Coturnix japonica: one gene and its partners. The protein of the gene in region 1 purifies or fractionates together with the protein of each later gene. This does not show direct contact. Links are inferred from orthologs where the notes say so. Each region holds a gene or a part of one and is shown on either strand. Other genes may lie near its edges.

Region 1 (4,668 bases):
TGCAGAGCTCAGTGTCGAGGCCTATTCATGTTAAACCTACCGTGGCTCATGGGCTGTAACAGCCTCATTCCTTGTGTGCTTCCTCGTTCTGTTGCAGAGCACTGACTGCCAGGCTGTGGTTGCACTGAGCACACGCTTTCTGTGTGCTGCTCCATTGTATTGGTGCTCTGCAGGTCTGAAGCTGGAGGGCTTTTTGTAGACTTGCCCTCCCTCTGCTGGCTGCTGCCGCAGTTGCTGAACAGGAATCTGTCTGTAGATGAAATGGTGGCCTTCCTGTGGAGATCTTGTCTATTTGTTTCAGAGCTCAGTCATCTGCAGCCTTACAAATTATACTTTCCTCCTCCTCCAGAGAGAATAACACCATCAGTGTGTGGAACAATGGGAAGGGTATCCCAGTTGTTGAACACAAAGTAGAAAAAGTGTATGTTCCTGCTTTAATCTTTGGGCAGCTGCTGACATCCAGCAACTACGATGATGATGAGAAGAAAGTCACAGGTAGGGAACACTGCAGAGCGTGCAGATGTACCTGGGCAGCCTGACTGTGTGATCTGGGAACTGAAGTACCTATATGAGTAACTGGTGTTAATTAAATGCAGCTTTATAGTGGCTGCAGGGTTTGTGGGACAGTTTATTGTTAGTCATACTTGGTGCTGAAATGAATGAGCTCTTGTTGGTCTGGAGTTCTCTCTGGTGGTTTTGAGCAAAGGTAACAACTCAGACATGTTTTCTTCCTGAATCCAGGTGGGCGAAATGGTTATGGAGCCAAACTGTGCAACATATTCAGCACCAAATTTACCGTGGAGACTGCGTGTCGTGAATACAAAAAGCTGTTCAAGCAGGTATGAACACTGCCCATTTCAGTGAGGTCACACCTGAGATTTGCAAATATGACTTGAGTTTTTCCTATGTGAATCTAGGTGTCATTGCTGTGACTAGAATTAACCTGGTACCTGTTAGATACTGTGCTGCTTTCTTGTGTTTGTTACACTCACAACTGACAACAACTCATCTCCTCAGACCTGGACAGACAACATGGGGAAGGCCGGTGAAATGACACTGAAGCATTTTGATGGGGAGGATTACACGTGTGTCACCTTCCAACCTGATCTGTCAAAGTTCAAAATGTCGATTCTTGACAAGGACATCGTGTCCCTGATGACAAGAAGAGCATATGATTTGGCTGGGTCATGCAAAGGAGTCAAAGTTATGTTGAATGGGAAGAAGTTGCCTGTAAGTGAGCATTTAAATGGGGGAACATCTGTGTTTCTTATGACATTTACCAGTGAAGTTTTGTTGAAGCAGTTTATGCCATTGCACATAATAAAATGAAAGCTTGCCAAGCAATTTTTCCTCCTGGCTTTGCAGGGGGATGTGCATTAAGTATTTATAGGAGCTGTTACAGATGAGTTGTCTGGTTTCATTTGTAGGTGAAAGGATTCCGCAGTTACGTGGACCTCTATCTGAAGGACAAAGTGGATGAGACTGGAAATGCACTTAAGGTTATTCATGAGGAAGTGAATTCCAGGTGGGAAGTGTGCTTGACTTTAAGTGAAAAAGGATTCCAGCAAGTTAGCTTTGTCAACAGCATTGCCACCACAAAGGTGATTCTTTTGCTCCCGTGCTCACATTCACTTCATATTCTTTGTTGTTGGCTCTGTGTTTTGGTTCAGTGGAGTCACCTCAGGTTCTTTGGTCCCGTTTTCCCCCAGGGTGGCAGGCACGTTGATTACGTAGCTGACCAGATTGTGACTAAACTCATTGATGTTGTGAAAAAGAAGAACAAAAATGGAGTTGGAGTGAAACCGTTTCAGGTGCGATGTCAGAATTCCCAACTAAAGAAGCCCCATATATTCCAGTTTAAGCCACCAAGCCATATTCCCTTTGTTTAGCTGCAGCAATCAGAGTGCTCTGGGTCAGTAAGGAAGCATTACAGCTCAGTAGCTGTTAGGTTTTCTTTAGTGGGAGGGCTGCTGATGTCTTGGCACCCCAAATCATGTAACTTTGTGAACACTCATTAGCTGTCCTAAATTCTGCCAAAAGACATCTAGGAAAGTTCAAAAACCACGCAGCAATAATTGAACTTGTTTTCCTCGCTGCATGATGCTGACAGGTGATTCTCAGGAAGAAAACACTGCTGTTCCAGGGAGTGGAGCCTGTGCAGTTTGTAATGCTCGTCTTGTTTGCCTGCAGGTGAAGAATCACATGTGGATTTTTGTGAATTGCTTGATTGAAAACCCAACCTTTGACTCTCAGACTAAAGAGAATATGACTCTGCAGGCCAAGAGCTTTGGCTCGACGTGCAAGCTGAGTGAGAAATTTATCAAGGGTGTAAGTATTGGTGTGTGTGGATAATCAGCACGTCTGTAAAGCTGCAACTAACATGGCAAATACATGGCTTACAAAGTCATGAATTAAAGGAAAACATAACTTAAAGCTTTTCCCACTGTTGATTTTGTTCTGTAATTTTGTTGGCATTGCAGGCAGTTGGCTGTGGCATTGTTGAAAGTATCCTAAACTGGGTAAAATTTAAAGCTCAGACCCAGCTGAATAAGAAATGTTCAGCTGTGAAGCACACCAAGATTAAGGGCGTTCCTAAACTGGATGATGCCAATGATGCTGGTAAGTATTTCACATCCTTTGTAGCCAGTTTCTTCAGAGATAACATTTGCTCACCAGGCAAATGAAACAATCATCTAAAGAAAACGCCAGCTTGTGCTCGTTTTGCATTGCAGTTTGTGCAGTGCAGCCAGACCTGTATATTTTATGGTGTCTCCTGCAGCCTGTGCTATATTAGCCTTGACTTCACTTCTTAATTGGAAGACTTGGGTTTTTGCTTTTTGTTTTTCAGGCAGCAAGAATTCAATAGATTGTACACTCATCCTGACCGAGGGAGACTCAGCCAAAACGCTGGCTGTCTCTGGTTTAGGAGTGGTTGGTAGAGACAAATATGGAGTATTTCCCCTTCGTGGGAAAATGCTCAACGTCAGGGAAGCTTCTCATAAACAGGTTAGTGGGGAGACCTTAATAGCCTGTGCTGGGAGCTGTGGTGTGCTTCATGTCATGCAGTGTGGGTACAGCTGAGGGCTTTTGATGCTGTAACTCAAAGGTGTGGGTCTGGTCTCACGTTCAGATTGCCTTTCTGATTAAGCAGGAATACTAAGCAAATCCCGGGCAGTGCTTTGCATTTGTGCTGTGGGCTAGGAAATGTTCTAGGAAATGTTTGAAATAGCCCTGAGAAATTTAAAGATTAGACACTGGGTTGGAATTAATGAGATGCTCTAAACAGAGGAAACTCTGGGAAGGCAGAGCACGGTTAGGGGTGTACAGCCGATGGGTGTCTTTGCTGTTTTGAGTCTGGTAGAAAAGTTTTTATTCCTTGTGATCTTTTCCAGATAATGGAAAATGCTGAAATCAACAACATCATCAAAATTGTGGGTTTACAGTATAAGAAGAATTACGAGGATCGAGAATCTTTAAAGACTCTTCGCTATGGGAAGATCATGATTATGACAGATCAGGTTAGGCTCACTGAAATTCAAAACTGGAGAAATTTGTTCACCACAAATGTGTCTCTTCCTTCTGTTAACTTTCAGTACTCAAAGCGTGGCTGCTTCTTTGGAACTGAAAGTTAATAGTTCTCAGTAGCTGGGTTTGTGTGTATCCTCATTATTGAACTAACAACTGGCACGGCCATCAGGGCTCTGGTTAAACTTGTACTTCTCTCCAAAATAAAACCACCAAACAGGATCAAGATGGATCTCATATCAAAGGTTTGCTGATTAACTTCATCCATCACAACTGGCCTTCTCTTCTAAGACACAACTTCTTGGAGGAATTTATTACCCCCATCATAAAGGTAAGGGCTGAGGAGGTTGGAAGGTGAGGGAATAGGATCATGTTGGACCACATCTGCTTTCACAATTAACATCTTCATTCTCTTTAGGTCTCTAAAAACAAAGAAGAAATTGCATTCTACAGCATTCCTGAGTTTGAAGAATGGAAAAACAGCACACAAAACTACAACACATGGAAAATCAAGTACTACAAAGGTTTGTAGGAAACCTGATATGGTGAAGGCAAGTTTGTTATTAAACTTAGTTAGTCCAGCTTCTGCAGAAAAAAGGGGGTTTGGAGCAGGTGGCCTCCAAAATTCACTTCCCTCCTAAACTGCTCTGAATGGCTGCATGCTGGTAAGGGAGCTGCCAGCTGCATAACAACAGCCGGGTGGTGAGGAATCCAGACTAAAAGTGCAACTGCCCAGTTGTCTTCAATCCCCACTACTTCTGTGATACCTTACATCCCAGCAAAGGTTTTAATAGAACCATCTTCATGCTGTGCATTTATGTGATGTATTACGGAAATTGGATATAGTAATGCCTTCCTTTGAAGTGCAACTTAATTGAAGCAAGAAATTAGGGCTGACTAGTTGTTGGTTCTGCAGGTTTGGGTACCAGCACATCGAAGGAGGCAAAGGAATACTTTGCAGATATGGCTAGACATCGAATTGGCTTCAAGTACTCTGGTCCAGAAGATGATGCTGCCATCACCCTGGTAACTTACACTTGACTTAATTGCTGATTTACTACCTTGAGTATTTTGCTGCGTATTTTCTCTTAAAATGCTCTCAGAGGCCTTTGGGCCTGAGATGGTCTCTTTGTTACCAAGGCT
Region 2 (4,668 bases), on another chromosome or scaffold:
GCTTGCAAAAAAATAATCTCAGCTGAGAATTTCTGTTCACAGTATGAGTTCACCATGAGCCAGCAGTGTGCCCTTGTAGCCAAAAAAGCCAATGGCATTCTGGGGTGCATTAAAAAGAGTGTGGCCAGCAGGTCAAGGGAGGTGATCCTCCCCCTCTACTCTGCCCTGTTAAGGCCTTGTCTGGAATATTGTGTCCAGTTCTGGGCTTCCCAGTACAAAATAGACAGGGATCTCTTGGAAAGAATCCAGCGGAGGGCCACTAAGATGGTGAAGTGCCTGGAGCATCTCCCCTATGAAGAAAGGCTAAGTGAACTGGGTCTGTTTAGCCATGAGAAAAGAAGACTGAGAGAGGACCTGATCCAGGTCTATAAATATCTGAGGTGTGGGGGGCAGACTTGGGAGGCCAGACTCTTTTCAGCAGTGTGTGGAGACAGGACAAGGGCAAATGGGCAGAAACTGGAGCATAGGAAGTTCCGCATGAATGTGCGCAAGAACTTCTTTATGGTGAGGGTGACGGAGCACTGGAACAGGCTGCCCAGGGAGGTGGTGGAGTCTCCTTCTCTGGAGATATTCAAGACCCGCCTGGACGCCTACCTGTGCGACGTGGTGTAGGGAACCTGCTTTGGCAGGGGGGTTGGACTCCATGATCTCTAGAGGTCCCTTCCAACTCCTGTGATTCTGTGAGTGGCTTTGCCTGAAGTGTCCATGCTTAAATTTTTTTTAATTTGTGTCACTTCTGAGAGTGACGTCAGGAATGCCAAAGGTGTATCTTTGGTGTACAAAAATTGGGAGTATTTTTAATTTCCCACAGTGTCATAATGCTTTTGATTAATATACAGCAAAAAGTATGTTTCTAAACATTTTATGAGCTATTATGGTTTTAAGCAATATATTATTGTAAATTTGCCACAGTAGGAAGAGCATAGCTAAATGTTAAGTATACTAATGAACATGTCAGTGTCTCAGTTAAGTAGCTCTCTGTGTCAACTATCCAGTTTTACGTCATCATACTGCTAGATTCTACTGTCAGTTATGTCAGTTATCTAATTTAATTATTACTTTTATCTAATCTATTTATTACTAAATGATACTTCAGTTGATTTAAAAACAGTGCTGAAACTATGCAGCCACTAAATAGGATAATGTTTTATGACTTTTAGCTTACATAGTGGGTTAATACATTAATTGTTTCAGAAACGTGTCTGAATTGATTTATGTTTGTTGACCGGAAAGTTGAATAAACTTAAAGTGTTCCTATTTATCTCATTGAAGATAGTGAACTTCCAGATCTCGACTACTTGAGTACCATGACTCACATTGTGTTGGTGGATCTGGACAACTGGGGAAGCTTTTTCACACAGCTGCCAGCTAACCTGAACCAAGGAACATTCATCTGGGGATTTCAAGGTAAAGTGATCAAAGGAAGAACATAGGAGTGAGTTTACATACATGTTTGAGCAGAGATTCCTTGAGAGAATTAAAAGTGATTAGCCATTAAATTGGTCTCAATTTGTATTGAGGAACATGTTAGTCTTTCATTAGTGTCACAAGGATTTTTGCAAAGCTTAGGAGTACTAAGGTTCATGGGGACCAGAACAGTAGTTTGTGGAGTTATCGAATGCACACAATTCCTGTTCGTTTAAATACAATGATATCCCAGTCTCATGTTTTTCTGCGCTTTCCAAACAGCACAACTGACTGTTGTTTTTTAACGATACGTCTTGAGTTATGTCTGTTATTCGTGTTTTTGTGGTTTTTTGTTTTTTTTTTTAATGCAATCCTAGCTTTCCTTTCAGTTCCCCCCATTGTATTGACCAGGTTCTACGTTGTTTCTGTTCTCAGACATTCAGTTTTCTGTCACTCATTTTGTAGTCCACCTCCACTAGTGAATCAGGCTAACTCCTTTTTCGTTTTTGGCTTTCTAACCCAACAGGGGCTTTGGGGCTTTTGGTAATGCAGTTTTTCCAGCTGTCACATTTGACAAAATAAATTTTGTCTTTAAAGCCAGTTTTACCTTTTACTTTTGCCTTGCATTCTTAATATATGGTGACACTGCTATCCTTTTTTGTTTGTTTCTTTGTTTGATTGATTGCTTAGGAGGATACAGTAACTGGAAACCTCCAGTGCAGTGCAAAATTTATAATTATCTCAACAAGATCGGATGTTTCTTCCTTCATCCGCGTTGTGGGACCAGAAGAGAAGCAGCAGACTTTGCACTCTGTGTTCATGTAAGTTAGTGTGTGCCGTCTTTATTGTTGTTTTAGTGTGAGAGAAGGGTGGCAGGTGTTGTATGCCATTGACATTAAGTACTTATTAGCTGTGAGATTCACACAACTTCTGTGTCCACTAAAAAGGATTATAGAACCATTGCTGAACTGAGTGGAGACAGTGTGTTGAGAAGCGATTCTGAAGGAACCCCCTCACACCTTTGGGTAACCCTGAATGTCATACATTTTACTCTTGCCATATGAATTGGAATTATGAATTGAATTATGGATTGCATGAAGACCACACAACATAAATTACATCGGTAAATATAGTAAATATAGCTGTCAACATCACCCTGCCCTATGCTCTACATTTTCTTTCTTTAGGAATACAGATGTAATTCCAAGTAAGACATATAAGACATCAGTCTGTTGTGAAAAGGTGGGAGCTGGTTAGGAAGTGAAGAATTAAAAAAAAAAAAGAAAGAAGAAAAAAGAGCTTAAAAAACAGATGTTACAGTTTCTGTTTCAGAATGAAGTAAAAACCCTGAATCTGGAGCTAGATGGCCATGGGTGGGTGCCAGCTTCAGAGACCCTGCTGAGCTGACAAAGAGCAGTGCCCATGTTGAGTAGACCTAGGGCTTTGGGTTGGGAGATGTGTAGATGAGGGGCAGGAAGCTGGGGTATCGTGAGGACTCCCCAGTGCAGTGTTTAAAGTTTTATCAGACAGCTTGTTCTAGTGCCTCACCATCCTTTGAGTAAAAAATAACTTTCATGGTAGTATAAATTCCATATATAATAAAAGTGGAAGTAAGTTGCTGTAGATTTTCCTACAAAAAGTTATTACACAAAGCTAACTAATGCCCACTAGATAAAAGTGCAGTCTTAACATCTGTTGTTTGTTTCCTTGCAGGCTGGTCGGCTGGATGAGCGTCTGCCCAAGCAAATTCCTTTCACTGTACTTTCTGGAGACAAAAGCTTCCTGGAGCTGGAAGCTCAATTTAAGATGACTCAGCGGTCAGTTCGCATTCTAAATCCCCATCACATCGAAGGAGACATGATGTGTGCCTTGCTAAACAGCATTTCAGATACCACAAAAGGTAGAAAGTCAACATCAAATGAAATCTAGGTGTCAATAAAATAACTGAGCTCTTGTGCTGATGAAAACAAGTTGTTGCTTGGTGCTTCTTGTATTGTGTTGCAGTGAAATGCAGCTCAGAAGATTGATTTGCTTGGTACGAATTTTGAAACCAAACTTAACTTCCCATTTTTGTTCTGTCTAACAAAATCTGAAACAAAGAGTTATTTCTGTCTGAAACCTCCTTTTTGTCTGAAGAGGAGCTGTTTAGAGCTCTGTGATGTGCTTACTTATTGATTTCTACTGAAATCTGCTTTGCTTGGTTTGTGCTCTGAGACAGCTGTGACCCTGCTCAAGCCATTGCTATTTCCCAAAATCTCTGCCTGTTTTAACTCTGATTGTCCTGCATCCAAGCGCTGACCTCCAGTCACTTGTTATTTGTCTTCACTGGCTCGTGGCTCACACCCCTGTTTGGAGGAAAAATACCCATGAAGGCCTTTAATACTCTAATTAATGCCATGCTTAAGTGATTACGCTGTTTTTATATAGAATAATCAGAGTTTTGAACAACCTTATTTTCATCCAAAGGATGCTGAGGCTGAGATGTGTTTAAATACTTCCTAATATTTTAAAACATCTTGAAGGTTTCATAAAAGAACTGAATTTTCCTATTTATAATTTTCCTTCAGGTGTTCTTTTCATGTGCTCCACTGTGTTAATATCTAACATAAATATTATGGTGTTGGGGACTGTTGAGAGGCCCCAGGCTTGAACTTACTGACTGCATGGTCATTGTGCATGTCACTAATGTTGTATGTGTGCTTGTTACCAAAAGATCCCAGCAATTATAAGCAAGAAGTTGCTGGAATCTTATGCGTCATGTTCCTGTGCAAACCCACAGTGAACAGAATTGTCTTGAGCCATTCCCAGGTCCCTTGTGCTGTCAGTGTCAATGGGGTGGAACCCAGGCAGTAAAAATTGCCTGTTTTCTCTGTTCCTGTATTAAAACAGGACGTTGGAGAACTCAGTTTTGATAACAGGACTGTGTAGTCAGGGCAGTGAGTTGGTGTCATGGCCAAGAATCTATGAAAAGTTTAGAAGATGCAGCCACCTCAGAATACGTGCTTCACTGCATGGGTCAGAAGCATCAGCAGGCATTTGCAAGTCTTCTTGTATGTAGCAAGACCAGTATCAGAGGGCTGAGGTGGAAAGTTGTGCCTTTGTATAGTGGGCTGGTCTAACCTGTTGTCCTGTTGCAGAAACGCAGCTGAATATGAGGAAATATAAACAAGGTTTGTTTGCTTTCCAGTGGTATCAAGCATATGGGCAGGACTGTTGAGGACTTCAGCTCAGCTGTGTCTCTCAGAAACTCATGTTCATGTT
Region 3 (4,668 bases), on another chromosome or scaffold:
CTAGGAAGTTATTCTCCAGAATTATCCTAAGTAGCTCTTGTATGCAAGAAAAGTATATCAGCCAATAAAGGCTGAAGAACTCCTGTGAAGGAACACTTACTGGATGTCCCACGCCAGCCAGACAGTGGAGAAGTGGCCCCATCCAAGCTTCCGAATCACATGGTAGCGCCCATTAAAGAGATCTCCAATTTTCACAAGGTGATAACCCCCTGGGAGAACAGTGGGAAGTTGGTATGACATGGGATCACACAAGTGCTGAAGGACAGGTATGTGGAACAAGCATCAAACTCGAGGTATACGTACTTCATGTGTTTAAAAATCTATAATCATATACAGAAATACAAATGTTTATATAATTGGGTTGTGTGTGAATGTAAGTGTGAATGTAAGAGGCAGAGCAGTGCTGAGCCCTAGAGTTGGACTGAAAAATATCTTAACATAATCAAACTAGGAGGACCAGACATAGAAATGTTTGGGCTACAAAGGACTGCTAAAGGCCATCTGATCCCACTCCCCACATCGAAGAGGGAGGCCCACAGCTCCATCAGCTGCTCAGAGCCCCTCCAGCCCTGACCCTGGGAATCTCCAGCAACAGGGCAAAACCACTGCTCTGGGCAGAGCAACCTGACCAACCTCTCATTTTTAGTGCAGCTCATCATGGCAGCAGCACAAAACACTTTCCTCAAAGAACGATTCTGAGTTTCACGAGGCTACCAACCTTCGAAAAATGCAGTTTATGAAAGTTCAAATTTAGCTCAAAATATCATTTTTTTCTAATGAAAAAGAACTGGATGTCTACTTCTACTGATTTGGAAAAGCCCTCTGACACAGATGAGAAGCCGACATACATTAAGAACCCAACCAAACCTTGACAACAAAAGCAATCTTGAAGAACAGTTTCTGTTTCAGGTTAGTTTGAGAAACATGATTCTATTCATCCAATTTCAAAAACTGCTTAATATAATCAAAGAGATGGTCTAATTTTAACTGTCCGCAACAGATGGGAAAACAAAGGAAATTCTTACATTAGAAATGCCACACCTTAAACAGGCAAGTTCATACCTTTACAGTAATCATTTGGGTCCTCTTGTTCGTCATCATCTGAGCCCAGAATTTCTTCTTCTTGCTCTGGAAGATCATTTTCAGAGTGAGCAGCAGGGCCACGGTGCTGAGGGTCGGCTCTGAAAGAGGACACGGCCTGTGTGTCACATGTTACACATAACTCGGTACCTCGCTTCTTATGTAAGAGGTGGTAAATAATGAAGAAGTCGTACTCCTTGGCCTCCAGAAAAAAAAACAGTTTTCATTTTTACATGCTTTTACTGCTGAAGGAGAAACAGTTTTTCATATGCTAGCAAGAAAGAATGACACCTTAAGGCTCCAGATTCACTTTTACAGTATAAGAAAAAAAAGGTCAGACAGACAAAAGCTCAGCACTTAGCAATCCTGCTGCCTCTACATAGCCCCAGCCTCCATCAGTGTGAATCAGCAGAAGTTTCCTGTACTGAGGCTATTTTTCCAGCAAAGTAGCAGGTATACACAACCCTATTTCAAATCCAACTCATTCTGTTCAAGGGAGGATTAAATTCTGAGACAGCTGCAGTTTACCCCAGCAGGTACTGGGGATGCACGTGGGCTTTGGGATGCAGGTTCTGCAGCTCCTGAGTTGGAGTCAGGTCATATCGGTTGTATCAACTAATGACAGAAATGAACACAACTTTTTAGCAGCTACACGTTCAGCATTTGCCTACTAAAAGCACCCTGCTGTGATTTCATACATCAAGTACCATCTGTTTCTATACATTAAAACAGCAGTTATCTTCAATACCTACAGAGCAGAAAGAAGGAAAAAAAGCCCCACGCTTTCCAATAGAACCATGAGTGAACATGTAACCATTTCTAGTAGGAACTGAAGTTTATTAAATCACAGAGGAGCCACAAGGCGGTCCCAGATAAAACCACACTGCCCCACAATGCACTGAGTACCCAAGACCTGCTAAGTGCGAGATTCAGGAAAGAAAGCAGGCAGTGGGTCAGAATTGGAGGTGCTGGACTGGACATCAAGAGATCACTGAGTCCAACCTGCCTGACGATACAGGCACCCTATGAGAGGTTCTGAGCCTTACACCAGGACTGCTGGCCGGACAGACCGACCACCATCCCACTGCTCTCAGGCTGAGTCATTTATCAGCTGCCCCATAGCTTGATCCAGCCACAGGATGTTTCATACCTGGATTGCTTTAGCAGTAAGCCATAGAGCTACAAGACAAAAAGAAAAGAAAAAAACATCTTGGAGGACAAAAATCTTCTTGAAAAGTGCTGCATTTCTCCAGGAACAAAAGAGCTGCAAACAGCCGCTGGCTGCCCCAGAATCACAGCAGGTAGCAAAGGCATGAAGGGGAGACTGGATGCCAACATGCACAGAATCCTACAAACAGGGAAAAGAGAACCAGAACAAGGAACTGGCCAGGAAGGGGGACTGAAGCCCAGCAGCCACACCCACAGCGTAAGTAATGCAGAGTAATTCTGCTGTTTGAGGACTTTCACTTTATGGCTGCAAGGTCTTGCAAACAGGAATGGGTTCAAAAGATTCAGAATCACTGATGCAGACGTAACACTGTGCTGCTCTGCAGTCCCAAAGCTTTTCAATGACAGGGATTTCATGCACCAGAGCAGAAGTTACTGGAAGCACTGCACCCATTTGCTCAGCTTTCTGCACTCATCCTGGAGGGACTGAGAATGGTAGACCACAGCTCAGCCTGTCCTGGGGATCCAGAACAAATTCCTATGAAGCATTTTTCTCATATATTACAACCCTTTACACCATAACGTGGTACAGAGCCCTGCTCACATGCATATCGACAGTGCTACCTCCTTTAAGGAATCCCCTCCAAAACATACCTCATTCCTTGCCTTGCGGCAAACATCCATCAGACATCACTACATCTTACCACCACCCGCCCCTCGCATGACCACATCAACTGCAGATATGGATTAAAGGAGCCTTCCTCAGTGTAGATATATATTAATGCCAAAGAAAAAAAAATCCACAAAATCACAGCCCTCACCTGCATGCACAGGTAGGGCTTTGCTAGACACAAAAGGCTGCTAAGGACAGCAGGAAAATCCATACCCTGGATTTAAAGATGACAGCTGAAACTGCTGTCAGCAGTATTACAAGATACAGATAAATACCTTAAAACCCTTTAGGGACAGAAAGATGGTTAATAGCATACCCTCCAAGAAAAAGAAAACCAAACATTTTAAGGCACTTTTTCTCCCTGAAAACACCTCCATCACCTTTTACTTTCATTCCCCCAGTGTATTAATTAATCACCAGAATTAACTATACAACTACAAAGTGGTATTTTGATGAAGATAGGAATGCTAAGGCAGAATGATAGCTTCTATGGAACTCAACCCATCTCCAGAGACCATCCCCTCCCCCCCCAAAAAGTCCTCATCCTCCCAGAAAAGCCCAAAGAACTGCAGTTCCTGAGACAGAAATAAATGAGGGTAACCCACCTGCAGGAAGCACGGCCTCCCATTGACACAGATATCCCTGAAGACAGCCCAGCAGTTTTCAAAAAAGCCATTAAAAATGGGATGGCACTGCTGAGGAAGGGGAGGACATGGATGGCCGAGGGGTTCCTCCCGAGCGCCGCCGAGCTTTGTGCAGGAGGGAGGAGAGGGATCAGCCTCCACCACCTAGCTGCAGATGCACAGCACTGCATTGCAGGTGAATGGCCTTGCAGCGAGACCAGGGGCTGCTCCCAGCTGATCTGCAAATTCAATCATGTCGGGGGTTGGCTGAGCTCAGAGAGACTCATCTCCTCCTCTTGATGTTTACCTGTCTCCATCTTCCCTCAAATGAAATTAGGAATTTAGGCAGATGCTTCATCTTCCTGCACCAGCCGGTTTTATTTGCCTATTTAATACCCCTGGATTCAAAGCAGGGACAGACAGCGAGGTGGGGTGGCTGCCGACAGCACAACCCTTTTGATACAGCATAGCAAGGGCGTTCAAAGTGAAAAAGGCATTTTCTGAAGTAATTCCAAATCTCGCTCCGCAGAGCTACAAGAAAAACATACCCTTTACTCTCGAAAGGTACAAAGAAGTGGGAGAGGAGACAAATCTTCACCAGATCTTCAAAAAACAAACAAAAAAAGCGCAGAAAATTGAGCATTCTTCATAGGAACCGCTTCACAGTTTTCCAACAACATAAGGGTATTAACAGACATTTCCTGTGCCTGATTATCCTGCTTGTTTGTGTGATACGGGAGAGTTCAGCAGTGTGACATTAGCAGCAAGGATGCAGAGCTCTGCTACAAGATGGTTCTTATGAGCGGCATTCTGAAGCCAGCTCTGTGCTTCTAAACCAAGACTCAGAAGAGCTCCATTCAGCCAGCAGCACACCGGGCAAGTTTGCACTCTACAAGCTCACACAACGACACAACGCACTGCAGGGACAGCAGTACTAATTTGGAAGAACTCAGAGTTTGGTCACTTGTTTCTCACAAAGTTTTCAAAGAGCTGAGAAAACACACCTTGCTTTCACTAGTCGGCCTCCCACAGAGCCTGGGCTACACTTAAAATATGAGGTCAAAAACCACAAAGCAGCCCTGATCGCATAATGTGTGCTCTTACAGATCTGCTCTGAGGCAGAGC
Region 4 (5,394 bases), on another chromosome or scaffold:
ATGGTTATGCCTGCTAAAGACTCCAGGAACAGCCAACCCTGCAGGAGAGCAGAGACCACAGCCTTTACTGAGACATGAACTAGAAACTGGGCAGCTTCTTTTGCGTCCAGAGTTCATCTGGCTGGCTGTCAGCAGAGTCCTGCAGAGCACAGTACTGAGCCTCTTGTGCCAGTTTGGATGCTCCCTTTTGCACCCAGAAGCGTGCCTGCAAAAGCCCCTGAAGATGGCAGCTGCTACAAGGCAGAGTGATCCTTTCCTCTGATCACAGCCCGCTGCAGCACGGTGGGTGTTGCAGCAGCTCTTTTTCATGCAAGGCCACCTGAGCAAGGTTTCTTGGAACCCTGGAGATATTTAAGCTTTAATGCAACACTGTTGTTTCTTATGGCTATTAGGAATTTCTAATGCCTAAAGTGAGATGTGTGAGGCTGTGCTCAGGCTGTCACACATCACAAGATACAGCCCCTACACCTCTGTGTGGCAGCGAGGATAGGCTCAAACCTTTGGCTGTTCTGAGAGCAAAGCCTGCCATCATCTTGTTCCTGTGAGCAAAGGGCAAACACCTCTTCCAACAGGAGAGGTGTCTGAAAAACAGCCTTTCCATTGTGTTTATATTTAAAAACCTAACAGTGACTTAAGCAGTTTGCATAATAAACACGTCTAAATCAAGAAATATTTGCCTGCTCTCGGTGAAAAAGGAAGTCCTCAGATCCTCTTCTGAAGACTGTAAGAAAGTGACAGAGCTTTCCCTTTACAGGGTATAAATACGCAGTGCAAATAGGTGGCTGCTGTCTCTGCTTACATGTTGATGCGTCTCTTCAGATAGCCTGGCAGCGCTGGATTATTTTAGCGTCAAATCAAAGCTCAGGATGTGTAAAGAAGCTGAGGAAAGGTACAGTGTGTGTTGCAGCACAGGATGGCAGCTGCAAGAAGCCTGGAAGCAATCCTGTGAGACACATACCAGCCACGCATACTAAACCTGCCATTTAGTACATCGAAAAGGATCTCGGTTCAGCAGGGCTGCTGCAGAACAGAAGCAAATGCCTTCAGATTGAGGTCGAGGCAGGGGATTGTTCTCTTAGGAAGGTACATGATTCATCCTCATGTTAGCTGAGAGAAGATACAGCTTTTGTTTCCTATTTACTCTCAGTTTCCTTGTGAGAGAAAAATAAAAGGCCCGTTTACGCTGGAAGAAGAATCACGCTGGCTGATGTTCCTCTTTAAAGCAGGAAGCTCTCATTTGCAATGCAGCATCGCTGTCCTTGACTGTAATGTCAGCCCAGATCCGTCTGATCTGCATCCCCCCCTCAGCACCAGCTGTGTGTGGATGCAGGGCATGTGTACAGCACTGAGCACAATGTAATCTCTGCAGGGTTACTGCAGCCTCTGCATTCCAGCCCCACACAACCCAGCACTTGCTGTGCCCCTGCTCCATAGCTCATAGCTCATGTTCAGGCTGGACAAGCCCTGCTAGGCCACGCAATGTACAGCAGGAGCTTCCCGTGGTGCCATGAGGACACCCCGCCTGGGCGCCGCCATGTTCCCCTGACAGCCCGGGGGCGTGGCCTAATGGATGGGGGCGGTGCTTAACATGCAAATTAACCCTGCCGCCGGGTGTGGTTAGGCGCATGCGCACTCCGCTCACAGTAGGGGACGGCTTCTTACACAATGCGCCGGGCTCGTTGCGAGGCGGGGAGGGGAGCGGAGGGGCGGGGCTAAGTATGCAAATAAAGAGCAAGGTCGTGTTGCGCGATTGGAGGATAGGGTGGAAGGGGCGGGGCTACGTGTGTTTTACGAGCGCGCGGGCGGGAGCGAGCCAATCGGCTGCCTTCGGAGGAGTGGACGGGTGGGGGCGTGGCTAATATGCAAATATTCTAACGGATGGGCGGGGCCTATTATGCAAATAACCCAACTGCCGTTTCCCGTCGGCCGTCCCTCACAGCGCCCGGCTCCGCCCCGCGGGTAAAAGGCTTCGCGCTTGCGCAGTGCGCCGAAACCAGGACTTAGTGTCTGTTACACAACCGCTGAGGAGCCAGGGGCTGCGCTCTGCGTCGCTTCCCCGCTCCGCGCGTCCCCGGCGGCTTCAGCTCAGTTCTGCTCCTCTCCGCTTCGCTCTCCTCCCGCTTCGCTCCGCTCGGCATCTCCCGCAGCCTCCGGTATGAGCGGGGACCAGCTGCACAACGACTCCCAGGTGAGTCCCGGGGGAGTCCGGCTCATGGCCCTCGGTTCCCATCGCGGTGGGGCCCTGAGGAGGCGCTTCCCCTTCGCTCCGGCCGTGTGGGGCCCGTACCCGGCTGTGTGTGATCCCCGTCGGACCCGCTGGGACTCGCTGTCCCGGTCGGTGCCGCTCGGCTGGGGGCTGAGATCCCTCAGGAGGGGGGGCTGGTGTTACCGGTTCTTTCTGCTTTCCCCCCTTTAACCCCCCTTCCCGGCTGTATGTTGCCCTCAACACCCCGCTCCCACCCCCCCATCCCCGGGGCCGCGTTCCGCATCGTGCCGCTGTCTCCTCGTTTGGTATTTAATTTTCATGGGGGGGGGGGGGTGTTAAATAGAAGGGGGGATCCATACCCGCCGTCCCTCCCCCCGAATTCATCGCTAAACACACGCGGCCCCCCCTCCCTGTTCGGCTTTTCTCACGTCCTCTCCCTGTCTCCTCTCCCCGCAGATCGAGGCGGATTTCCGAGCCAACGGTGAGTGGGCCCCGACGCGCCCCGCGCCGCGCAGACATGGCGTCCCAGAGACTAAGTCCCGGCTCCGCGCTCACCGGCCCCATTGTTCCCATCGAGCCGCCCCCCGCGCCCCCTTCCCACCCTCCCCGAACCCCCCCGACCGCCTCTTGCTTTAGAGGGGGCATGGGAGGCCCCCGATCCGTCCCCATCGGTCCCTTTTGGGTTTCCTTTAGGCCCCGATTCCTCGCTGGAAAGTCGCCGTGTCGGCGGTCGGGACTTAGTCTCTGCGCCATTTTCTTTTTCTCCTCTCTGTGGCTTTCTCTCCTCCTCCTCCTCCCCGAGCTGCCGCCGCGCAGCCTTCCGCGGTAAGGGGGGGTTGGCGGGTGGCGGTCCCCGTCCCCATTCCTCTATTAACCGAGGGGAAAGCGAAGTTTTTAGCTAAAATAAAGCCCAGGGCCGTTTTTATCGCAGCCTGCCCCCCCCTCACCCCCTCCCTTCCTCCACGCTTCTCTGTTCCTTTCAGGGAATCCCTCCCTTCCCCTAAAATGAAAGGTGATTGCAACATGTTGCTCTTTTTTCAAAAGAATCTGCCGCATCCATTTTAAGATCCTTCCTAGTTTTTCGCCTCCCCGTTTAATTGATGGAAGTTCACCTTCTTGGGTGGGGCTTTTTTAATTAAAATTAGAATCCCACGTTAGGGGAAAAACGGGACGACCAATAGAAGACAACACAGGCTGTGTAGGCAATTCGAGAAAGGTAGGCAGCATTGCTTCTAAAAGTTTGCAGCTGGAACTGTGCATTTCGTTTAGAAACACTGTAGGAATCCTGATTTTTTTATATATATATTAATATATAGCTCTTGTTTATGTTCATATATAAAAATCCCTTAGCGAGCCTGATAAGAACTGCTGTTTTGCTGGTTTATTTGGTGTTTATTTAGGATGCTAAACCCCCTCCCTGTGCTGTTAGGGGACAAATCAAAGGGTTTAAGCCAGGTGTCACCTAACTGTGTGTTACCGTCCCACTGTTGGGGGTGGTTGAGCAGCCCCCCATCCTGGAGAGGCAGAGGACAAACAAAAGTCAATTGAAGATATCTTTGTTTTACTCGGTGCTTTCTTATAGTGATTTCTGGGCAATGCCCACGTGCCCTGATAGCTCTGAAAGCTGCTATCTGTAAATATTTACAACTCTACCTTAGCGTGCAGCTTTCTTCCTGTCCATGCGTTGGATTGTGGTTGTGTGTGTGAAGGATTTAAACAGTTTTGAACTTTAAGTGGTGATCACAGAGCTCTGTGATTTTTTTTTTAGCAGAGGAAAAAGGCAAAGTGGGTTTTTCAAGAGCTGCAGTAGGAACTGAAGCAACTTCAACACCAGCGTGTATTTGAATACTTGTAGCATTCTTGTGCTGGGAAATATTTGCCTAAGGATCGTGTCTATTTAGGGGAAAGAGCTCCCTGGAAAGCTCAGTGATGTGCTGCTTTACGCAGGGGAAGTGATGCACATTGACCCTTTCCAATGAAGCTCTTTGGGGTATTTTCTCCTCCATTCTGACCACGTACCCTTTTATTCTCACAGTGTTCTTTGTCATTTTGTGGCTGATTAGAAGCCCCTACAGTCCCAAATCCCCTTCAGTGCTGGGAGGTGCATGTAACGCTGTTAGTGTTGGTAGGGGAACAACACTGATTAGACACTGTCCTCTCTCACCTTGCGGCCAGGGCTGACCTTCCTGAAAACCCATCACCTCTGCTCTCTTAAGGCTCCTGTGTTGGGTCTGAGAATAGCAGGTCTGGTTTGGGCACAGCGCTGGGGCTGTAGCTTTTATATTCTTGTTCTGATCCTATCTAGTGGCAAACAACAGAAGTGGGTGGTGGGAATCTCAAGTGCATTTCCCAGGTGTTTAGAATTGGTTTGTACTTTAGTTATTGTCAGACAGCTCTTAGCAGCAGAGTCTAAGTCTCATTTTAGGCTGCCTTGTGCCTCTTATGTTTAGGGAGAAGGGAGGTTTTTCTGAGGGCTGACTGATTCTGAATGTTGAATGTAAGCATTGATCTGAAAGCACTAAACATTTTGGTTAACAAGGACTGTTTTGGGTGAGTTCTGATTAGTGTATCAGTAACAGGGCAACTTAGGCACTTCAGAGCTTCCTGTTGTTACAAATGTCTCGTATTTAGGTCAGTGCCCATGCTGCTGTGATGGCACAAATTGTTGCAGCTGAAGGAGGGCGGGTGGAGGTGATGTGCTGGCTGATTGCAGGTCTCAGGAGGGTGCTGGCTGCAGTGAAGGGCTTGCATTGTGTTGCATACCAGTTTCATTGACAGGAGGGTGGTATTAGGGATGAGAGAGGATGTTACTTGTAAATATGTGTTCTTGGCTATTTCTTAGCATTGAATAGCCAGATCGCTTTGGCTACTCCAAGCAAGAGTGTCCTGGGCAAGTTCCAACCTGGGTAATTACATTCCATCCCAATATCCAGATTCTCCCTCCTGTTTAATTTGGCCACAGAGGGTATTTTTTTTTCACCTTAACCGTATTTTCAGTGGTGGAACAATCTGCAAAGAATTTTCCGTGTTCAGTCTAAGGGCGGCTGTTTGCAAACCATTCTGTGCTGAAGCAATGAGCTTATTTTGCAAGTAACATCCTACAGTCTGAAGCTTGAATAGAAGGGATACAGTAGCCTAAAACTGTCATTTCCAAGTACAGCTTGGTCATTGAAAATGACCCCTTCTTC
Region 5 (4,668 bases), on another chromosome or scaffold:
GTGTGAGAGGGAGATTGATGTGGTGTCAGTCCCTCTCAGCCTCAAGTTCTCAGCTTGAGGTTGGAACTACATGATCCCTTCCAACCCAGGTAATTCTGTGATTCTGTGATACACCATAATTTTATACAGCACCAGTAAATACTAAGCCATCGGGAATTGCTACCCTGAGAAGTGAGCTTGGAGGATTCCAATTTCACTGTGAGGTAATAAAATACAGCCAATTGTAGTGAGCTGAGGAGAAATGTCTTCCCTTATTAGTGCTCCAGTTGAAGATGAGCCATTTTCAGTCTCGTGCTGAGCATAGCTGCAAAAGCATCTCATGCGTGTAGGGCATAAAGACCCTCAATTTTTTCTTTGATGGAAATAGCAGCTGTGTTTAGCACAGAGTGTTTGCTGAAATGCTGGGTTGATTATATGGCTAAAATTGAACCGGGGGGAAAACCTCACCTGTAAATTGAGTGTTCAGAAGCCCCCCAGAAAATCTGCCTCTGCTTGCTGTCTTCTGGCAGCCTGCAGTAGGTCCTCCCTGCAGTTCCTCCCAGTAAGGATATTAATTTAACTGCTGTGCTTGAAGAGTAGACTTGAGTTTCTTGTAGAAGATGCACACAAGAACAAAAAGTTCTAGAGAAAGAGACTGAGTTACTATTTCTACCTTCTGTCTGTTGCAAGTTACTGAGAGCTCGGGGCTTCTTGGTTAGATTTTCTTTCACTGAAAGTACTTGTGCTATTTCTTTTCCTTCTGCTTCTGTAGGAGAGAAGCCATATGAATGTTACATCTGCCATGCTCGCTTCACTCAAAGTGGTACCATGAAGATGCACATTCTGCAGAAGCACACAGAGAACGTGGCCAAATTTCACTGTCCTCACTGTGATACTGTTATAGCGAGAAAGAGCGACTTGGTACGTAGCTCAGAAATGTGCTCATTTATTGGGAGTGCCATGGAAGCCTTTTCCCTGAATAGAGTTCATTTGACCAACTGCTGTCTGCTTTTTAACCTAACTGTTCTGGTAACTAGAAAATGAAGCACAGGCTTAGACGTGGGGCTTGTAATATGTGCTTAGCTTCCCATAATTGCTGCAGACTGAGATTGTTCTGTTTCTTTTAATTATTTGAAAGTGTAGGATGTGTTCCAAGCATACAAGGCAAGTTACTATTTTCAGGCCCATAGGTGGGAACTGAAAACACCTCTTAGACACAAGGCATTTACTCAGGCTAGCATGTGGATTAGGTCTGAGAAACTAAAGGTCAATTGACTTGACCTCCTGTGTATTGGGAGGCTGTTATGTTTATCCACATGCATCTTCACCCAGCTAACGGGCTTGAATGTGAACAAATACTTTCATTTTCCAGGAAGTGGAGCTGTGTGCTACAGACAGAAATAGGAGAGACAGAATTGCCACAAAAACCTGAGTCCTTGCAGTAAAGAAAGTGTTTTATCTAGTGAGCAGTACCCAGTGATTCCAGCAGGCAAGCTCTCTGATGTACAAGAAGGTGAAAAATAATGTCAGCCCAGAGCAGCTGAGAAGGAAGAAGCACCATTTGGCAGAACTTTCAGTCTGTAAGCAAAATATACAACCACGTAATGGAAAGGCAGGCTGTCTTCCAATTAAAAATGAATGTGGAGTGCTACAATGAGGGGGCAGCCAACTGATGTCAGGGTGTCTACCAGAGCAGCTCGGACCGATTACAACAGAGGGGAAAAACTTTGATGTTAGCTATGAAGAATTCTTCTTCTGATAACCTTTTAGTCTACAACAGGCTGCTTTGTGCTATGCTCTCAGTTTGAGTGTTTTGAAGAAACCACTAAAACCTCTGTTGGGGATTATCTGCTGGTATCCCGATTGCCTTCCAGCCCTGTCACTCCGACTTCTAATCCTGCAGAAAATCCTGTTTCTGAATGTTATTACCTGGCTTCTGGCTGAATTCGGGCAATTCACAGTAGAGGATTCTTAAGTGGCTTATGAACTGTTTTAATTCTATAATCTTTGTGTGTTGCATAAGCATTGCTAGCAAAAAATCACATTGTACTGTCCTCCAAGAGAGTCCTTGTGGATGTATGCTGACAGAAGCAGACCTGGTGTCACAGAGTCAGAATGACAGAATGACCCGGGTTGAAGGGACCTCAGGATCATGTAGTTCAACCCCTGCCTAGTAGGGCCACCCCAACATACGCCTTTACTAGATCAGGTTGCCCAGGCCCCGTCCAACCTGGTCTTGAACACCTTCCAAGGACGGGGCATCCACAACCTCACTGGGCAGCCCTGTTCCAGGACTAACCACCCTTCTAGTAAAGAAACTTTCCCCTAACATCAACCTAAATCTTCCCTCCTTCAACTTAAAACCATTTCCCTAGTCCTGCTATATCAGCCCTTTCGAAAGTTTACTCCCCTCCTGGGATAAGTTCCCTTCAGGTACTGAAAGGCTGCAATGAGGTCACCCCGCAACCTTCTCTTCTCCAGGCTGAACAAACCCAACTCCCTCAGCCTGTCCTCATAGGGGAGGTGCTCCAGCCGCCCTGATCATCTTTGTTCTTTTTTGTACTGAGGGCTCCACACCTGGACACAGTACTCCAGATGGGGCCTCACATGAGCAGAGTAGAGAGGGACGATCACCTCCCTATCCCTGCTGACCACCCCTATGTTGTATCCCTGTTGTCTGCTCTGTTCTGAGGCTAGCATACACTGTTTGAAATATCCATTTAAGGAGCTGCCTTTTTGCATATTATTTGTTAAATGATGTGATACAACATCAAACCCTTTATCTCTTGGAAGCATGCTGTACCAACAGGTTGCTACCAACTACTAAGTCTAGAATCTTGTGACTAAACATGACCTTTCTGTCTATAAATTGTTCTGGCTGCTTTTATTTGTGAGTTTTAATTCTTTAGTACAATTCTGAATTAATGGTTCACTCTCCTGACTTGAACCCAAGAGTATGTGGAAGGGGGATTAGTGCTAAGGGACTGCAGGCTAAACCTTTCTGTGCTTGGAAATCCATGGTGATGAAAGCTTCTGATTCTTTTTGCTCCTAGGTGTTCATTTGCGAAAGCAGCATTCCTACATTGAACAGGGCAAGAAGTGTCGCTACTGTGATGCTGTATTTCATGAGCGCTATGCCCTCATACAGCATCAAAAGTCTCACAAGAACGAGAAGCGCTTCAAGTGTGACCAGTGTGATTATGCATGCAGACAGGTAAGTTGTGCTGCTGGCACCCCTTGTGAGCTTCAGCTCACAAAACATGAGGGGAGGAATCTTAGCTGCGAAGTTGGTCTGGCTGTCAACATCAAATTGGCTCTCCCTTTCTGAAGGGAGGGGGTGAAGGAAAGTTCAGTCTCTTGGTGTGGTGCTCACCTATAGGGAGCCCCTTCTAAAGGGGGTAAGGCACAACGCTGATGTATCTGTTGATAAAGAGCTGGTGGGAGTCCGTTTGGAATGGGAATAGCTAGGATTGAATGTGCTGTCAGTTAAGATTCCTGATTCCTGAAGAATCTTTTTCTGATAGCGCTCTTAACCCAAAGTTTTGGGCTCTTCTTGGCCAAAAATGAGCTCTTCTGTGTCTGCATGAGTTCTCAGGTTACTTTTTATGTCTTTCTTGTCCCTCAGGAGCGGCACATGGTCATGCATAAACGGACCCATACTGGAGAAAAGCCTTATGCCTGTAGCCATTGTGATAAAACCTTCCGTCAGAAACAGCTCCTTGATATGCACTTCAAACGATACCACGATCCCAACTTTGTCCCTGCTGCCTTTGTCTGTTCCAAGTGTGGTAAAACATTCACTCGCAGGGTAAGGGAATGCACTGTTCTGAATTAAGGTTGTTCTGTTTTGGAGTGGAATGAAAGCTGGTGGGGAGGGAGGGGGTGGAACATGAAGGATGACATGCTTCCCCACAGGGAAGGGTGCTTGAGGTACAGGGACTGTACTGACATTTTAAATAGAGCACTTGCTTCTTTCTGAGTGGACGCCTGATGTATTTCAGAACGAATACTGTCATTGTTTAGCACTGGGATCAAAATCAGTGTGAAAGTTCAACTTCATTCATAAAAGTTAAGAAAAAAAACCCACACACACACACAAAAAAACCCCACAACTACTAAGTTATTAAAAATATGTTTAAAAACATGGGGCTACAGTGCTTGATCTTGATTTCAATGCATGCTTTGTTTTCTTTTGCTTTCTCTTCTTCCATGGAGTAGAACACGATGGCCAGACATGCTGATAACTGTTCTGGCTTAGATGGTGGGGAAGGAGAGAATGGAGGAGAGACAAAGAAGGGCAAACGTGGCCGAAAGAGGAAGATGCGCTCTAAGAAAGAAGATTCCTCTGATAGTGGTAAGGAACAGAGCAGTACGTGCTGAGAGCTACAGATGTGGGATTCACTACTAGTTGTTGGTTTGCCATTTTGTTGGTTAATTCTGGTAACTGAAAGCTGTTTATATGGTTAGTAAGTAAAGAACAAAAGTAATAGTATATGTTCAAGTGCAGAGATGACTCCCTGTAGGGGATAGCACAGATTCTGCCATCCTGTCCTCTTCTAAAGGCTGAGTAGCTGGGAAGGAACAGAAAAACCTACTTCTGTTGCCCCTTGCCTTGGCTGCACAGCCCCTGTTCTTCCTGCTTCTGTGTGTGTTTGCAGTGTCCCAAAAGAAGCGGCGTGTTTCTCTGCT
Region 6 (5,263 bases), on another chromosome or scaffold:
ACACCACTTGCCCAGACAGGTTTGTGTCTGAAGGCAACTGGAAATGAGGTAGGGCCTGTAAGGGGGGCAATGAGGATGTGGCTGCCAGTGTAACAGGAACTGTCCTCGCCAAGGGCCAAGTGTGGTGAGTTATGGGGTATCCTCCACTACCACTGCTCATTAGTTGCATTTAATGAATTTGTGGGATTTGCCACATAATGGGTGCTCAAGAGCCAGAAAGCAAATCCTGCTGCACACCTGGGCAGAGCTGCAGAGCATCTGAACAAATGCAAGCCCGGGCTTTGCCTGATAAAAAGAGGTGGTGGAATAAAGTCATAGAACCATTAAAATTGGAAAAGACTGCTAGTATTATGGCATGCAACCATCACCACCTGGTGAAAGAAGGTGCTTGGGAACTTGTGAGAACACAAGCTTCTGGACAGCATCCACATAAAAAAGCAGGCAGACCAGGATGGAGACTTCCATAGTTTTGCCCAAGGCCGACCAAATGGATACAGCTGACCCAGATTTGGAGGCCTACGTTCTGCTTTTTGCTTGGAGGTGGTTTTCCTGCTCATGTCAGCAGGCAGCAGAAATCAAGAAAGGGCCACAGGTGCCCACTTGGCCAGCACTCATCCATCTCCATCAGCATGCTGAGCATCTCAAAGGAAGGCCCCACAGTAAGACTTACAATGTCTTCCCTCTATTATGTCTCCTTATGATCATCATTTATTATGTATGAGTTTAACCTTCAAAGTCCAATGTGTTGTGTCCCTTTTAATGTTTGCAATTAGGAGAACTCTAAATAATTTTTCAGCATTGCTTTGCTCCAACACCTGCCTCTGGCGGTATGGTTTAATTAACCTGCCAGAAGAACAAATTTCCTCTTACCCTTTGTTTAATTTCTCACTCTCTAATTTCATCAAATAGTCATTTGTGTCTCAGTTGCCACATGGGGACTGTAAAGCAAGGATGATAGCACAGTATTTCCACCTGTGGGTAATGTCAGTGCAAACATTCTGATAATAACTGCGGCAAGTACCATGGCTGTGCTGGGCTCTATGGTATCAACTTTAGACTATGATCTTCCCTAGATGTACAAGCCACACCCCTATTATGTTGCCATGTAATTACTGAGATGAGGCTGCTTGGTGGAGTTCTCAGTCGGTTTGAAATCCTGCTTCTCCTCTACCAACCGCTCATTCCTCGCCTCTTCCCACATCCATTTTCCCATGCATCTGGAATGCTAAAAAAACAGAAGCTTATTTAAAGAAGCTTTCTAAAAAAGGGGGGAAACCATCAGAGCTGCTTCCCAGGGAGTTCTGTGCTGGATTGTAATGTAAAACTGCTCAGGACTGCTGAGGAGGAATCATAGAGCTATTAAGGTTAGAGAATAGCATTAAGTACATCACATCCAACCATCAGTGTGTCAGCTCCATGCCCGCTAACCACATCTCAGTGCCAGGCAGCTCTAGGCACCAAAACCCCACAGGAGCCATGGTAGGAGATACATTCTGTCCCAGAGAGTAGGATAATCCCTTTCATTTATACTGTGATACTATGAGATGCTGTGACACTCACAGAATCACAGAATGACCCGGGTTGGAAGAGACCTCAAGGATCATGTAGTTCCATTGCCTGGCAGGGCCACCAAACCTTTAATGTGGGCTGTATGGCTTTGCGTCCCATTCCCATTGGGGCGGTCTGGCTGATGTCAAGGGGTTGATCGCTGGCACAAAGAGGGAAGGCACAGCTGAGCCATAGCCACTTGTTGCACCTATACAGCTGCCTCAATGCAAGCAAGGTCATACAGCCATAGTGACTGTGTGCAGCACCGTGCAATAAGCAACATATCCATATGGACAGGATAAGTATCCATATAAATATCCATATAGATATCCATATAGATATCCATATAGATATCCATATAAATATCCATATGGGCAGGGTAACACGGCCCGCAGTGCCCCCACTCGTGCTGTGCTGCTGGCGCCCCCTGCTGCTGTAAGGCGGTATCACACCGAGCGGACATGAGCGCACAAGGCCCCGGCCCATTGATACCCCGCACCGCACCGGAAGGTTCCATGCGCCGCCAGACATGCCGAGTCGCTGCCCGAGCGGTGGATGGCGACCAAGCTGCGGGGCGGGCAGTGCGCTCGGCGCTCGGCTATTGCTGCCTGCGGTGGGCGCGCGTCGCGGCTCGGTTCGGCGGGGCCGCGTTGTGGTGTCGGTGGTGGTGGCGATGGCGGAGCCGGGGGACAAGCCGTACCGCGCCGAGTACGCCAAGAGCGGGCGGGCGGCCTGCAAGAAGTGCGGGGACAGCATCGCCAAGGACTCGCTGCGCCTGGCCCTCATGGTGCAGGTACGGCCGCACCGGGGCTCGGCTGCAGTGCCGGGGGCCTCGCGGTTGCCGCCCCCGGGCGCAGAGCGGCGGGTCGGGGCTCGGCCTCACGGTGCTGCGGAGCGCTCGGATCCGAACCGGGGGCGGCGGGGGGCGGCGGTACCGCGGGGCGACCGGTGGAGCCGATGGAGCCGAGCTGAGCTGCACGTGGCCACGTTTCATCCGCCTTTTGTCTGCGGGATGCGGCGCCGCGTTCCGCCGCACGAACGATGCTGAGCGGCTGTGGGCAGGGCCGCATCCAACCCAGCCGGCAGCTCCTCCTGGCCCATCTATGTATGGCCCGGGGCGCACGGAGCGGCCGGCTGTGTTACCGCAGGGCGGGCCTGTGCCCGCAGCACGCGGTGTTAGTAACGCCGCCGTTGTTTGGTGCCAAACCGCCGGGCCGTGCCCTTTGCTGGGTGCCGCAGCGCTGCCAGGCTGTGACCTGGCGGCTCCAAGTCAGCCCAGCACAGCTCTCAGCGGGCGAGGTGCTGCGGAGCTGCAGGGTTGGGCTGTGGTGCCGCCCTGCTGCAGGCTGGGATGTTCCCCTGCCATCGTGGGGACTCTGACACGATGGTGGCCCTTATGGGGCAAGGCCGGTGTTTACCCAAATACCCCCCACCCCGCTCGCTTGGATCTTAGCTGCTGCACCTCAGCCTCGTGTGCTTTTCCTAGTCGCCCATGTTTGATGGCAAAGTCCCTCACTGGCATCACTACAGCTGCTTCTGGAAACGGGCACGGATCGTGTCCCACGCGGATATTGATGGCTTCCCTGAGCTCCGCTGGGAGGACCAGGAGAAAATCAAGAAGGCCATTGAAACCGGAGGCCCTGGAGGAGGTAAGCAGAGCTCTGCTGGTGTTCAAAGCTGGAACCGTGCTCTGTCATCTCAGGCTGTTGTTACAGTTACTTGATGGCCATGTCCCTGCAGCAGGTTGATGTCAGCCTGAGGAAGTGTATTAATAATTTTAAAATTTAAAAAAATAGGAAATGGAAGCTGTCACTTTGAAAGAGGACTTAAATTTTGAGAGGGGTTCTGTTTTGAAGCAGAACACAGAGGTTTATTAATCCAGATTGCTAATAATCTGTAACAGATGGGGAGAAACAAACAAGGAGGGAGGGTGCCTTTTAAAGCTCTGTATTTACCTTTGATCTGCAGGAAAAGGAGGGGACCAGGAAGGAGGTGGCAAAGCGGACAAGAGCCTAACTGACTTTGCTGCAGAGTATGCCAAGTCTAACAGGAGCACTTGCAAAGGCTGCGAGCAGAAAATAGAAAAGGTAAAAAGCTTTTCTTTAGTTCTCCATCTCACCTGTTTTCCCACTGATCCCAGTTCAAACAGAAGCTTCTGCTACTGCATCCTGTATGTCCTGCACTTGGAGGGCAGTTGCAGAGCTGATTTTCTGTGCCTGAGGAACGGCTGCGTCTTGGAATACTGACATAAAGACATGTGCCTCAGGCACTGGAGCCCGGACTTCTGATCTGCTGATGCTTCCTTTTGCATGAGCATTACGGCAGACTGAAATGCTGCTTGCCAGTAGATTTGGTTGGAATAAAAGAGAGAGCCACCACTAACTGCCTTCTGCTTGTTCATGCACTGCAGAGATGTTAGCTGCTTCTTCTCCTTTGTTTCTGTGCAGTGTATAAATCAGACAAAAACAGCAGTACGTCTAATTAATGATGCTGCCCCATATTTCAGCCTGTCTTGTTGCCCTACTTTTAAAGACAATCAGCAAAGTGAAGCCGTGAGCCTCTGATAGGTGAGAATAGAGCTGCCAGTTCTGTGCAGTTGGTGAGGGATGTGTGACGGCGCTGGTACACTTGTGTTTCCAGAAGTGTTAGTGGCTGGGGTGTAGGAAGCATTGCAGTCTAGAAGCACTTAAGCCAAGTACTTCCTTGGGTATCTGAAAAGTAATTTCCAGAGGATGAGATTGTAGTAAAGATTGACTGATAAGGACATAAAGTCAGCTTTCAGAATCCCCTCCATGGGGCTTGGTGATGTGATCTCTGCTTATCTTTGCTTATTCAAGTTAACTGGCAGGGAGTTGAAGTTAAGACTACAGAATTATCTGTTTTAAGTGTTCTTTTTCAACAGAAAGTTACTTAACAGGCACTTTTTCCAGCCTAGGACAAGGTATTAGTGAAAGCATTGGAGCTGTAAGGAAAAGGCTTGGACAGTTGTTTCAGGCTTTGGTGGAGGGGCTATTGGCGTTTAGCAGGTGTGCAGGAAGCATCATGTTGATAACGAGCTTACTAACATCCTGCTTCTCCCAGGACAGCCTAACAATTGCTGTTGTGTCTTTTTAACCTGCCCCAGGGCCAGATTCGGATTTCCAAGAAGATGGTGCATCCTGAAAAACCACAGCTGGGGATGATTGATAACTGGTACCACCCGGACTGCTTCGTGAGCCGCCGGGCAGAGCTGGGCTTCCTCCCTGCATATGGGGCCACCCAGCTCCTGGGCTTCAGCATCTTGAAAGCTGAAGATAAAGAAACTCTGAAGAAGCAACTACCGGCTACTAAGACTGAAGGGTATGTGGGGAATGCGGCAAATCGTGTGATTTCGAGGAACAGTTACTTGCCCTCATATACATTTGTGATGAAAGGGTCGTGGATTTGTTATCTTAGTCTCAAAAGAATAGTGCTTGTAGGAGGATGTGGTCCTCTGGTGCCATTAAGGCTGGTAACAGTGAGCTGATTCCCCATCCCTGGGAGGCTGCAGTCCACTTATTCATGTGCCTGTTGAGGAAAGGCTGAGGCTGGCAGCTCTGACTTTGAGGGCTGCTGGGTTTTCAGCCATAAGTGTTGTGTATGCGATGCAAACAGATACGGGCTCTATGCTCCTTGTGTGGTGCTGTTGTCAGCCTTGGTTTCCTTGACCTAACCACTTATTACAGAACTGATTGGA

Evidence for each region.
Region 2: the proteins of TOP2A (region 1) and E3 SUMO-protein ligase ZNF451-like purify together in Homo sapiens (affinity purification with mass spectrometry; 3 studies listed by BioGRID and IntAct, with this or other methods). This does not show direct contact. The link is inferred for Coturnix japonica from reciprocal best matches to the Homo sapiens genes TOP2A and ZNF451.
Region 3: the proteins of TOP2A (region 1) and SRPK1 fractionate together in Homo sapiens (co-fractionation; 3 studies listed by BioGRID and IntAct, with this or other methods). This does not show direct contact. The link is inferred for Coturnix japonica from reciprocal best matches to the Homo sapiens genes TOP2A and SRPK1.
Region 4: the proteins of TOP2A (region 1) and TOP1 purify together in Homo sapiens (co-immunoprecipitation; 4 studies listed by BioGRID and IntAct, with this or other methods). This does not show direct contact. The link is inferred for Coturnix japonica from reciprocal best matches to the Homo sapiens genes TOP2A and TOP1.
Region 5: the proteins of TOP2A (region 1) and CTCF purify together in Homo sapiens (affinity purification with mass spectrometry; 3 studies listed by BioGRID and IntAct, with this or other methods). This does not show direct contact. The link is inferred for Coturnix japonica from reciprocal best matches to the Homo sapiens genes TOP2A and CTCF.
Region 6: the proteins of TOP2A (region 1) and PARP1 purify together in Homo sapiens (co-immunoprecipitation; 3 studies listed by BioGRID and IntAct, with this or other methods). This does not show direct contact. The link is inferred for Coturnix japonica from reciprocal best matches to the Homo sapiens genes TOP2A and PARP1.

What each region holds. Positions count from the first base shown.
Region 1 is NC_029542.1:4,100,673-4,105,340, reverse strand, and holds part of TOP2A (DNA topoisomerase 2-alpha), read left to right. Parts: intron 1-349; coding exon 350-495; intron 496-741; coding exon 742-839; intron 840-1,017; coding exon 1,018-1,230; intron 1,231-1,427; coding exon 1,428-1,601; intron 1,602-1,709; coding exon 1,710-1,811; intron 1,812-2,190; coding exon 2,191-2,328; intron 2,329-2,480; coding exon 2,481-2,619; intron 2,620-2,848; coding exon 2,849-3,006; intron 3,007-3,392; coding exon 3,393-3,518; intron 3,519-3,745; coding exon 3,746-3,856; intron 3,857-3,943; coding exon 3,944-4,049; intron 4,050-4,441; coding exon 4,442-4,551; intron 4,552-4,668. UniProt on the Homo sapiens protein: Key decatenating enzyme that alters DNA topology by binding to two double-stranded DNA molecules, generating a double-stranded break in one of the strands, passing the intact strand through the broken strand, and religating the broken strand.
Region 2 is NC_029518.1:79,212,854-79,217,521, reverse strand, and holds part of E3 SUMO-protein ligase ZNF451-like, read left to right. Parts: intron 1-1,272; coding exon 1,273-1,407; intron 1,408-2,097; coding exon 2,098-2,228; intron 2,229-3,120; coding exon 3,121-3,307; intron 3,308-4,668. UniProt on the Homo sapiens protein: E3 SUMO-protein ligase; has a preference for SUMO2 and SUMO3 and facilitates UBE2I/UBC9-mediated sumoylation of target proteins. Plays a role in protein SUMO2 modification in response to stress caused by DNA damage and by proteasome inhibitors (in vitro).
Region 3 is NC_029541.1:488,946-493,613, forward strand, and holds part of SRPK1 (SRSF protein kinase 1), read right to left. Parts: intron 1,182-4,668; coding exon 1,063-1,181; intron 210-1,062; coding exon 101-209; intron 1-100. UniProt on the Homo sapiens protein: Serine/arginine-rich protein-specific kinase which specifically phosphorylates its substrates at serine residues located in regions rich in arginine/serine dipeptides, known as RS domains and is involved in the phosphorylation of SR splicing factors and the regulation of splicing.
Region 4 is NC_029535.1:4,132,865-4,138,258, forward strand, and holds the start of TOP1 (DNA topoisomerase 1), read left to right. Parts: upstream 1-1,966; 5' UTR 1,967-2,155; coding exon 2,156-2,188; intron 2,189-2,662; coding exon 2,663-2,687; intron 2,688-5,394. UniProt on the Homo sapiens protein: Releases the supercoiling and torsional tension of DNA introduced during the DNA replication and transcription by transiently cleaving and rejoining one strand of the DNA duplex.
Region 5 is NC_029526.1:1,444,488-1,449,155, reverse strand, and holds part of CTCF (transcriptional repressor CTCF), read left to right. Parts: intron 1-751; coding exon 752-900; intron 901-3,031; coding exon 3,032-3,193; intron 3,194-3,604; coding exon 3,605-3,787; intron 3,788-4,197; coding exon 4,198-4,333; intron 4,334-4,668.
Region 6 is NC_029518.1:14,814,108-14,819,370, forward strand, and holds the start of PARP1 (poly [ADP-ribose] polymerase 1), read left to right. Parts: upstream 1-2,138; 5' UTR 2,139-2,221; coding exon 2,222-2,341; intron 2,342-3,034; coding exon 3,035-3,197; intron 3,198-3,516; coding exon 3,517-3,635; intron 3,636-4,672; coding exon 4,673-4,887; intron 4,888-5,263. UniProt on the Homo sapiens protein: Poly-ADP-ribosyltransferase that mediates poly-ADP-ribosylation of proteins and plays a key role in DNA repair.